Arabidopsis thaliana: one gene and its partner. The protein of the gene in region 2 purifies or fractionates together with the protein of the main gene of each other region. This does not show direct contact. Each region holds a gene or a part of one and is shown on either strand. Other genes may lie near its edges.

Region 1 (8,193 bases), on a different chromosome or scaffold from region 2:
GGATATTCAGGTCTTTGCAGGCAACCTCTTGGAACCCTATCTCTTCGTCTTCAACGATGGCCACCCATCTACCATAGCCATGCCTATATTTTTACAAAGTTTCAAGAATGGAAGCAACATGCATGTGAGCAAACAAACAAAGAGAAACAAAATCAAGTAAGGATAATCGTTGAAGGGTTCTTACTTGGAAACAGCAGGAATCAGTATCCTATCATGTTCTTCCTTAGAAAATGCTCCATTTCTCAAATTGTACTTACTGATGACGTAGTTAGAGAAAACAGGTGCTGTCGGATGGTTGTCCAAAAATTGACACTGTCACATCAAACATTGAGAAGTGAGCTCAAACAAACAAGAGAGGACCAAACCAAATTTTATCAAACGAGAAACTTTCAGATATATAAACCACATGCAAAAACTTTAAGAAAGAATGCAATGAATCTTCTCAAGTTTTGGTTCGGTTACTAGTGCTAATAAGTAACTGTTTAAATTCCATAGACACTGGAAAATGGTAGGCTTACCTTCTCCTTTACTAGCATCATAAAAGTCATGCTCACTAGTAGCTCGTCACTGCTTATCCCTTCTTTGGGAACTCCATCTGCATAGACCATTGCCGTAATAACTTAAAAATATGATAACAGAAATAAGCAATTGGATATATCTAAGAATACCAACAAACATATAATCAATAAAGTGATAAATTACCTTTAAAATTTGTAGAATTATCGGTAGGGTTTTCGGCAATGTGTTTCAAAAATAAGATTCCATACCTGAGAAACAACAAATTTAACAAGTGTCAATGAACAACTGTTGGTTTTTGTAAAGCAGCTGAAAATAAGAGCATAAATGGCTTTAAGTCGTCAATACTTATTTATCTCGTCATAGGTCTTCATGTATAAGGGATTAACAAACTCCTTCCAATCAAAGTTTCCAGCTCCATACCTACAAAAGTTGTTTTGAGACACTTATGATATACTATGATGCTTTGAGAGACGCCAAACCACAATTTAGACAACATTATTAGAAAGAAGATATACCTCTTAAACGTACGTAAAAATATATCCCTCTCAGTCTCGTTAAATCCCAGCACCATGAGATATCTCCCTTCGCCTTCCATCAAAGGTATTTCCTCCGAATTATCTTACAGCAAAATAGATTTTCAAAGTTACTTAACTTGTAAACCTCTGAAACCAACAAGATGTCATCTTCAATGCAATATTTGGAAAAGTATAGTACCGCGAGCCCTTTTTCTGTAAGGCCTTGTAACCGTCCTCGGCTTTCTCTGTCGAGCTGCTTCGGGTTCATCTGCTTCCTCCTCCTCATCAGAGGTCACTTTTAAATCATCAAGACAATATTCGTCCTCCTCATCAGAGATTTCTTCTAAACCATCAAGATCATCTTCAGCATACATCACCTAGTAATATTAACAAAAGCAGGAATAAGAACACTTGTGCTAAAGGACATAAAACGATTCTGGAGAGGTGGGATCAAGAAGAGTATACGTACCTGCTTGCCGTTTCTCTTCCTCTTTCCAAGAGCACTGAGCTCCTCAGCTTGTTGCACTTCATATTTGTCTTTCAGCAAATCTTTCCAGTGACTTGTTCTATCAGCATTTCTTACTGAAGAATTGTTTTCTATAGCTTGTGCCTCCTCTAATGCTGCAGCCTCATTTTCATCATCTACATACTCAAAACTAGCCACCTAATATACAGGAAATAACATCAAAAAGAGAAATTATATTTGGAATTAATGCCACTAAATATATGTGTATAACTTAATATTGCAGGAAAAAAGGGTGTATATATATGCATGCACATGCACATGATGATTCTTGTAGCATATCCATTGAATTATTACTCTCTAAACAATTCTCTGGACCTTAACAAATATTGGATCATCTGATCAATAACCACTCATCTAGAAAGAGAAAGAGAAAGAAGTAAACCTTGAAATTCTTTAAAAAATCAGTTTCCTCCTCATCATCCAGTGAGACCTCCACAGCATCTACATGATTACGATCTAGCAACCTGCAGAAGAAAAGGTGTGGCTACAAATCATGAACATTCCATGCAATTGTATGGTGGCTTTGAACTATTAAAGTAAAATCACTAGGAAAGTAAAAACAAAGAAAGAAAGAAGAATATATTACTGTTCGATAGCAGCATCATCGTAATGGATTTTTCCAGACCTCCCTGCTTCATCATTCTCTTCAGAGAAAAGTTCCTTGGAACCATATTTGATGATGTCATCTAACTCGTCCTAATTACAGTCAGGGATAGAAAACAGTAATTAATTAAACCTTGTAGCAATAAGAATCAATAACAAATCGAACAAGGAATACATATATATATATATACCTGACAAAGATGTTGTTTTCCCACGACGAGATGCTCTAGAAGCATCTTGTTCTTGGTTATCTCCATCATCCGTTCTTCTACAGTACCTTTGTGAATCAGTCTGTAGATCATTACCTAAATAAGAAAATATAGGCTTAATCAGTGACATAGCTAGAAAAAGAATGAAATAGCAAGTGGATGATTCCACATTGACGCCATGAAAAGAGAACCTTATTTGTTTGGCCAAGCCGATGAACTCTAGCCATAGCCTGGAGATCAGCATGAGGATTCCAATCACTACAACACCAGTGAAAAAATCATGTCAATAAATTCATCACAACCATCTTAAATGCCTCTACAATATCTTTCCGCTATTAACTTAGAAGATCCAAACACTCTGTTATTCTGGAAAGAAACTTCCAACAAGCACTTTATCATTTCATTAAACAGATATTGGAACTCAAACCTGTCATAAATGATGACTGTATCAGCTGTTGCAAGGTTTATCCCTATTCCACCAGCTCTTGTACTGAGCAAAAAACAGAACCGGTTCGAGTTTTCTGCATTAAACCGATCTATTCTTACTTGCCTCTCAGGTCCACTGATCTTTCCATCAATCCGTTCATAATTCCAATTCTGACAAAATAAAAATAAATTTGTTACGGCTCAATATCATACAATAGTTTTTCCTTAATTGCATATAAGCAAATTATAAAAAGAAAGTTACTGTTCCTTGCGTCTCAAGATATATTAAAAAGTAACTTTTAAGTGGAAGGAAAAGATTATATCGCAAGTCATTTGCAGAGCGACAACACCAACTGAACAAATCAATAGGTCGACAAACAGATATAGCAGATTAGGTTACCTTGAAAGTGAAGTAGTCTTCCAAAAGGTAAAGGGTGTGTTGGAATTGGGTATAGATTAGCACTCTGTGCCCCTGCTCTTTGAGTTTGACCATCATTTTGTCTAACAGTTGCAACTTTCCGGAAGCTTCCAATAGTTTTCTTTAGAACAATTCAGAAAAGGTCAAGCAAAAGTCAGCACAAAATACTAAAAAGGAATCAATACGTCAAGATTAGTGATCAAATGTTACGTAAAAGCTTCATTTGCGTCTTCAAATCTTGGCTCAAAGTCTGGTAACAGATACGGATGAGAGCAAACTTGGCGTAATTTCATTAGCACGTTAGATATCTGAAACAGTTTAACCAGCCGAATTATCCTACCAAGTACAGTCTAAAAGGTTCCTAAACCAAGACAATATATATACATCTGCATAAGCACAAGAGATCCACAAAACTTACTTTAGCATCTCGTTTCTTTGTCAAGACTTGATAATTATTGGTAATAACAGCTTTGTACACTTCTTTTTGCTGGCTGCTCATATCAACACGCAAAATGAGCTCCTTCTTTGGGGGCACCTTATCCTTGAGCACGTCTTTCTTTAACCCTGCAATAACAATAAAAGCAAGATTAATCACCATGGTTATAGTTATCCCTTGGTGCGAGACTTCAAACGAAATGTTCTTAATAAGATTTGTTGGTTAATACTTCTGAGCAGATGCGGAGCCAACATTTGGTGGAGTCTTGAAATCTGCTCCTCTTTATTTATATCTTGAAACTTCTCCAAACTCCCAAACTGCAAGCATGGAAAATAAAATAATTAAAGCAAGCTTGTATGCTTATAATGACTATTTTAGAGAATAAACTAAACTTATTTTATATGCGTTATCTTTTGGCTAACCTTGTCCGCATCAAGAAAATGCATCAGAGCGAAAAGTTCATTCAAGTTGTTCTGAAAAAACACCAAATAAGTATTAGTGATACAAAAGAATTGATACCATAATAATTATAGTACTATTTCAGAGATCATAACTAATTAGGTAAACTTTAATGTAGGATTGAATGAACCTTGGGAAAGTCGAAGAACCAAAAATCGACTAACGACGAACCTGAAGTGGTGTTCCGGTCAACAGAACGATATGCTTACTTGTAAACTGACTCAATGAAGAGTACAGCTTTGACTTCTGATTTTTCAACCGATGGCCTTCATCAATAATCTAACCAAGAGAATGATATTCTAAGCAAAATATGAGATCTAAAAGAAAGACATACAAAGTATATAGTATCATTCAGATAATTAATACAGAAATACCATGCACGTCCACTTGATTGGACTCAGAACTGATATCCCTGGGTGAACCATCTCATACGTCGTGAGCAAGACATCAAACTTACTTTTACGCCCTTCAGAGAAGTAGAACTCATGTTCCCATATAACATCACGTGCTTCCGAATCCCCAGTGTACATAACCTGCATATATCATACGATGAAAACATTAATAAATAACTAATACCGTATATGTGACATATATATACGAAACATGATACATACCACATTCATATGTGGTGCCCAGGTGGCAAATTCCCTCTCCCAGTTACGGATGGTTGAGAGAGGAGCAACAACTAGATGAGGAGATAAGTTTTCCTCGAACAAAGAGGCCAAGAAGGCAATGCTCTGAATAGTTTTGCCTGCAGCAACCACAAAACCAATCTTATTTTACACAAATGATAAAAGCAAAGCCTATGAATAACCCCAAAAAAGAAATGGATTTTTGAAGACGTACCTAGTCCCATTTCATCCGCAAGGATTACATTGGTTTTCTTGGACCATGAATACCTTAGGAAATTCAGCCCTTCGAGCTGGTATGTATGCAATGTGCCTTAAAAACATATAAGGTAAGTAAATCAATAACATTATACAGAAACTGTATACAAATTGTTCAAGTAGTCTAATAAAATACCTGTAAGAAATTCAGGAGTAAGATCAAACTGTTTGAATTCCTCTCGATTTCTCTCATTTTCGACATATTTATCTCTACGAGAGCTAGAGTTTATATCCTTAAACCTTTGGATTTCATTCTGGAAATCTGAGATGTCAGATTCAGATTCCCAGTAACTATTTCTGTAAGAAAGTTCTTTGTACTTCACCAGATACTCCTCCCCATCATCTCCTTCCCTACATCATATCACAAACAAAAAAACCATAATTGTCAAAACGAAATCCATTAAGTGTCACACTTTTCTACACAGAAGATAGAGAAAGAAATATAAACGCATGAATAAATAATCACAAAGGAAAAAAAAAAAAAAAAAAACATAATTGTCACAACGAGGTCTATCAAGTTAAGGACATAAAAACAAAGGACAAGACTTGAATCACTTAACCGGCAAGCAATAATCCGGTCAACAGTTTTCCATTCAGGACGAATGGCGATAAACTCATGAGCTCCGTTCTCAGCGATGAATACGTCCATAGCAGCGTTAAACCTGGTCACCCTTAATTTTAGTTTTAAATGAGGATGGGACTTGTAAGCCTTCTCGAACTCCTGCTCGGGCACCCTAAGAATTGACATTAATAATCAAGTGATGATAAGATAACCAGACAAGAGAAGCAACAAAAACATAATAATCGACATGTTTAATTAAATACAACACGATATCGCATATTGCTGGGAATTTACCAAGAGCAGTGCAAGTACGATAACCCCTTCCACTTCACAAGATATTGTTTCACGACAACTAGGGTTGGTGTCCCGTTGTCAGAAGAATTCGGATTGTTAGATGCAGTAGGACGCCATTCACGGTCCAAAATCTTTTCAATCTCGCCAAGAGGACAATCCTGAAATGGATCAAATAATTAAAAGTCACTGCAGATCTATAATTTCACAACAAGACAAAGACATACCTGGTTACTTCCGCCTGTTTCTTCAACTTGTTCTTCACGAATGTATTCATCCAACTTGTCTTCAATATAATCTGGCTTTGGCCCGGTTCGTCTACGAAGCCTTTGCAACAGATTAGCCATTTCTCTGCATGAAAAAACCACAACAATGTGTTTGGTCAGTAAATATGATTCATTAAATTTTTAGATAAAATCGTAACAAGAAAGAGTGAAAAGAGAAATATCTCAGAAAATCTAAGACCAAGGAGGAGCGTACAAGATGAAGAAAATGCAAGGGAGCTAAAACGCAAGAGGGGTGATTCTTAAGGATATGATAAACGTCTGTTTATATATATAGAGAGGGAGTGGTCATTATTCTTTATTTCCTTTTAATTTTGTTTTATGGAGATAACACTACCTTTTTTTGTCAATTTCAATGTAAAGGTGAATTAATTTGTAACCAGAAGGGGATGCAGATGTAGTTGTGGCTGTGAGAAATTTTTAGAAGTGAGTCCTAGTGGTTTTTGTGAATGAAATTGTACCTAAAACCGTTAAGATTACGCGGCAATTTTGAAATTTCAACAAGAAATTCGATGATGATTTAAAATAAAATTATCAAAATAACCATATATTGAATAATTAAATATTTAAATATCATTAAAACAAAAAGTTATTTTATTTTATTAGTATAAAAAGTTGTTTGATTTATTAAGTTTCCTTGACACTGGTCAAACTATAAATTTATATGCTTACCAAAAAAAAACTATAAATTTATATTGTATATATACATTTATGTAACATAATTAAAAAATATATATCATATTTAGGGAAGAAATTAATTTAAAGTTTTTTTTATTTAAGATTCTTTGTCTGAATGGGTTGACCAGAAATAAGATTTAAATATTTAGTTATATCTTTAGTATCTAAAGATATGTGTCTGAAAACAAATAAATGAAACTTAAATAAAAATCTATTCAATGCAATATAATGTGATTTGTTTCTATAGAATAAAACAAATATTAAAGAGAGGCATGCAAATGGTAAGTATGAAAAAGGTTATAAAAGAAGAAGGAAATAAAGATTAGATTCATGCACTGTAATTTTGTTTAAAAATTAGCATTATCTTGAGTCTTGACCACAAAACCAAAATTAGTCGTCCGTTACAAATTGGAAAGGGATTTGGTTGTGACCAATAGTATGAAGATGGTTTACTTAGTTTCCAATACTCTATGGACAAATGGTGCATTTTTGTATTTGTTAGTTTTTTTAAGAGGTCCACATTTCAATTGATTAACGCTTTTTAAATTAACTAACACTTAAAAAAAGTTTTGTTACAAAGTATTATATAGATTTTAATTAATTGTAACAGCAAAAGCTTTCATAGCTCAGTTGGTTAGAGCACCCGTTTAGTAAGCGGGAGGTCTTGAGTTCAACTCTCAATGAAAGCAAATTTTTGTTATTTTACAATTAAAATCAGTTTTGTTCATTTTTATTAATCTTTAAAATAGATATGGTGTGAATGTTTCTCTTTATGCTTGGGCCTGTGGCCCTTTTTGGGCTTTGAAAAGCCTTGTAAGTTGACATAAAATCACGCTTATCAATTAGAGAATTATTAAAATATCCACCGAAATGTTTTCGGTGATAATGGGCTTTGAGTGCGTACCAGTAAAAGAAGGTTGAGACTTGAGAATAGCAATTAGCAGCGATCTGACCAAACAACACAACACAGTTAAATCATTCTCGAATACTTCCACTGGATGTCCACTGTGCAGCATGAAATTTGCATATATTTATTTTTAATTGATACAAGTTATTTTAGATGTTTATTGTATTTTTTTTGTAGAGCCATCCTAAAATAACCAAACCTTACGAAAAATAAATAATACAGAAACGTATCCAAAGGGGTTCTTACTCTTTAGAAAATTACTGAAATCAATTGTAGAAGAGCCTAAACATTGATTTAAATTTTGGTTTCTCGGTGGTTTTGTTGGACCATTTTTAGAGCTATAAACTTCTTCTAGAAATTCTTTTTTCTTAAAATGAAATATATTGTGTGTTATAGAAAAAGAATCATAAACAAAGCCCCAATAGTAGTAGCAATCTACTGATTTAGTATCATCAAAATGATGGGACTTGTGT
Region 2 (3,899 bases):
ACGTCATAATCAATTAAATTGCATCAAATGTGATTTTATTGTTTGTATGAAGTGTGCTACATTACCCTATAGAGCAAGGTATGAACATGACAAACACTTTCTCACAGCTATATGGGAAGAAGAGGTCCGTGAAAAAGATTGGTGCGAAGTATGTGAACGTAATTTAAGAGACACAAACACAAAAGTGTTCTATTGGTGCGTTGAGTGCTGCACCATTTTCCATATTGAATGCGTACTAGGTAAAAACTCGAATTTGAGTCTAAGCCAAACTCTCAAATTCTGGGTTCAGCGGGCTCAAATTCTTTTAGAAAATCTTAATCTGTAATAGACTAATAGACAATATTTCCAAGCATTCAGTGAGTTATATAGCTCTACCTCTCTATTCAAATGTAATTTGTTTTCTTCATATTTGTCTCCTTGGTTTGTGTTTGAAAAAAAATAAAATAAAAAAAGTCTCCTTGGTTTGTTAAGTTCAGTATATTGTTCAATAAACATATTTCAGAATAAATTTTTATAATAAAAATATATCTTAATAAACATTTGATCCAAAATAAATATATATTCAACTAATTATAGTGTATATTTAATATAAATATTTATATTTCTTTTGTTAAATGGTTTCCTTGAATTAATACAACCACTTGTAACTAAAAAACTTTGATATTCTCCGGTTATAAAATGGGAGCTCCATTCAAATTGTTTTTATGTGCTCTGTTCTCATTACCAATTTGATATCGTACAAAAAGAGCTGCTTCCTACTCGTGATCTAGATTGTAGATTTGAACCTTATCAAATGTGTGATCTTTACTATTTATCAGGATTAGATTACCAAAAACAAATCAATAGATGATGACTCTACAGGCTTGAGCTTTATTTTTGGCTCGAAAAATTGTCTAGATTTCTAAAACCGAACAAGAACATCAGAAAACATTGAAATATCAACATTCCTAGTTATAAATTAAACCAAAATTTCTGAAACATTGTGGTTTTATTAAGACGCCCACATGGATGAGATGCATCACTCCTTCACTTCAGCTCTTGATGATTTGTTATTCATTATAGCATCTTTTTTTAATTGGGGTCGGATTTCTCCATAGCTGCAAAAGAGAAGTATTCGAATAAGCAAGTTAACAAAAAGAATAGAGCAGAGGCAACACAAGGCAAAAGAACCGGGTATGGAGATATTACTGTTGTAGTTTAGAAGCTTTTCGATTAGATCGACATGAGTCATAAGCATACGCCTGCAGCAGTAACGGACTAATCCAAGCGCGTCAAGAGCATCCCTGCGTATTCCAAAACCAAAATTCAGATTTTCAGTTCAACAAAATGCAATTTTAGCATAATGCCTAAAACCAAAGTAGCTAAAAGATTAGATAGAAACAAGAGAATGGAATATATCAGTGATCACCTACCATCATGCTCTTTACTAACACTTAAGATAACATCTATGAACTTCAAGATGATCAAATTGCAACTAAAACAAAAACGAAATTGCGCAATTCCAAATCATGTAGCTTAACACCTAGAACCAAACGGGCTAAAGATTACACTAGCGATTAAAACAAGAAAATCGAAAAATCCCAATGATCTAACTTCATGCTTTTAGTAACAAGGCTAAAACATGTATAAACTTTCAAGATGATCATACAAGACAAGATCATGCAATCTCTTTGACTACACAAAACCATCAAATCATTCTATTGTCATGTTCCACTATTGTTTCATCTTTTACATGACTCTCATTTCAACTAAGAAAATGTCAGAAAACGTTCAAAATTCCAAGATTCAATCACTCTCATGTTCACCAAAAAAATTTCTCACAAATTATGATTCTTTTTCTAATCATAAACTATATATCGCTTACCCTTCAGCGTAATCAGCCTGGAGAAGTTCAAGGTATGTGTCCCATTTGTTCCCAATCACCTACAAAAAATCATAAACAAAAGCTTCATAAATCTCAATACTACAAACCCTAGAGATTTGTCACACACATATATATATAACAAATCGAAATCGTACAAAAAGAGAGAAGAAAAAACAAACCTTTCCACAAGTAAAACAACGAACAGGGACGATCATCGTGAACGAATCGAAACTTTAAGAGTTTATCGTCTCAAAGCGATCTTTAGGGCTTGTCTCTTTCTAACTTCGTTCTCGTCTCAAAGCAAAAATTAGTTTCATGTCTAATTATTATTGCTTTATATATTGAGTCCTATTATGTGTTTTAGCTAAAACGATACCGTATTAGTTAAAATTATTTATTTTATATCTGACAATAGAGGAGGAAAAGTATTCTTCTTCTTCTTCTTCTTCATCTGCTCGATCTTTTACATTTCCGGTAAGATCAAAATCAAAACCAAGTTCGTTTCGCGGCGGAGGAGAAGAAGAATCAGACGGGAAAATGTTGGAGAAGATCGGATTACCGCCGAAGCCATCTCTAAGAGGAAATAGTTGGGTCGTTGATGCTTCTCATTGTCAAGGATGTTCTTCTCAATTCACTTTCATCAATCGCAAGGTCTTCCTCTCTCTTAATTTCCTTACTCTCTCTATCAATTGGTACTTGCTTATTGCTATCGCGATCTTTAGATTCTTAGTTTCTTCGATCGAAATTTAGTTTCGTCTTAGTCGATTCTTCTTCGAGATCTAATTCAGAATCTGTTTATCGGAAAACTTCACTGAATGATCGGTTTCTGGTGATGTGCCTATTTGATAGATTCCATATTTTTGAGTAAATTTGGTGAATCTGGATGTTTTGTGGTTTGTGTATTACTAGACTTGTGACTTGCTGGATTCTTCTATGTCTCCCAAAAACCTTTGAATTTGCTTAATTTTTCTTAGTTTCTGTTGGCTTTGTTTTTTTGAGCGAGCAGCATCATTGCCGGAGATGTGGGGGATTGTTCTGTGGAACCTGCACTCAGCAAAGGTTGTCACTACGTGGACAAGGTGACTCACCTGTGCGTATATGTGAACCATGTAAGAAAATTGAAGAAGCTGCACGGTTTGAGTTGCGTCATGGTTACAAAAATAGAGCTGCTAAAGGTATTTATGTACCTATAGTGATCTTATTTATGACACTTTTGTGTTATCTGCTAGTTTTTGATGTAAAGAGATTGTGAATTTGTTCAGGAGGTAGCTCGAAAAGGACTGTAAAGAATGAGGATGATGTTCTCAGTGAGATTCTAGGCTCTGATGTTGATGTATCTTCTTCATCTGAATCTGTGTCTAGCACAGACAGGAATGCTTCTAAAGAAATGGCAAGTAGCAGTAGTAATAAAGGTATGGAGTTGGATGCTAGTCCTGAAGAATTGCGTAAACAAGCAGTAGAAGCGAAGAATAAGTACAGAATTCTTAAAGGAGAAGGGAAATCTGATGAAGCTCTAAAAGCATTTAAGAGAGGGAGGGAACTTGAGAGAGAGGCCGACGCATTAGAGATATCTTTAAGAAGGAACCGGAAAAGGGAACTGTCTATGCGAAATGTTGCTGAGACGCAGAACAAGGCTGCTACCAAAGAATCTAGCAAATCACAAAAGCCTCTACGTCAAGGGGGTAAAGGAAATGATGATTTGGCAGCTGACCTGAGGGAGCTTGGGTGGTCTGACGATGAAGATAAGAAACCAGCAACTATAAGTTTGGAGGGCGAATTTTCGTCTCTTCTCCGTGAAATTCCGCGAAGTGCTAATCCTCAGAAGACTGGGGGTATTGACAAGAGTCAGGTAATTGCCCTTAAGAGAAAAGCCCTTACGCTGAAACGTGAAGGGAAGCTTGCGGAAGCTAAAGATGAACTGAAAAAGGCTAAAATTTTGGAAAGGGAACTGGAAGAGCAGGAACTTTTGGGTGGAGCTGATGGATCAGATGATGAGCTATCTGCACTTATTAATAGTATGGATGATGACAAAGAA

What was found.
Region 1: the proteins of AT1G61700 (region 2) and PKR2 fractionate together in Arabidopsis thaliana (co-fractionation; one large-scale study listed by BioGRID). This does not show direct contact.

Annotation. Positions count from the first base shown.
Region 1 is NC_003075.7:15,429,533-15,437,725, reverse strand, and holds the start of PKR2 (chromatin remodeling factor), read right to left. Parts: upstream 6,199-8,193; coding exon 6,079-6,198; intron 6,013-6,078; coding exon 5,855-6,012; intron 5,843-5,854; coding exon of another isoform or gene 5,773-5,842; intron 5,733-5,772; coding exon 5,559-5,732; intron 5,350-5,558; coding exon 5,135-5,349; intron 5,054-5,134; coding exon 4,958-5,053; intron 4,863-4,957; coding exon 4,726-4,862; intron 4,645-4,725; coding exon 4,486-4,644; intron 4,391-4,485; coding exon 4,283-4,390; intron 4,126-4,282; coding exon 4,075-4,125; intron 3,970-4,074; coding exon 3,882-3,969; intron 3,781-3,881; coding exon 3,635-3,780; intron 3,525-3,634; coding exon 3,427-3,524; intron 3,338-3,426; coding exon 3,199-3,337; intron 2,970-3,198; coding exon 2,800-2,969; intron 2,631-2,799; coding exon 2,564-2,630; intron 2,469-2,563; coding exon 2,355-2,468; intron 2,257-2,354; coding exon 2,147-2,256; intron 2,025-2,146; coding exon 1,943-2,024; intron 1,699-1,942; coding exon 1,504-1,698; and 14 more. UniProt on the Arabidopsis thaliana protein: Chromatin remodeling factor that represses the expression of embryonic trait genes upon and after seed germination and thus enables the developmental switch to post-germinative growth.
Region 2 is NC_003070.9:22,785,285-22,789,183, reverse strand, and holds AT1G61700 (RNA polymerases N / 8 kDa subunit), read right to left. Parts: upstream 2,173-3,899; 5' UTR 2,080-2,172; coding exon 2,044-2,079; intron 1,924-2,043; coding exon 1,865-1,923; intron 1,284-1,864; coding exon 1,189-1,283; intron 1,098-1,188; coding exon 1,072-1,097; 3' UTR 804-1,071; downstream 1-803. Other genes in the region: AT1G61710 (Cysteine/Histidine-rich C1 domain family protein), read left to right, coding at 1-325; AT1G61690 (phosphoinositide binding protein), read left to right, coding at 2,402-2,515, 2,871-3,039, 3,127-3,899.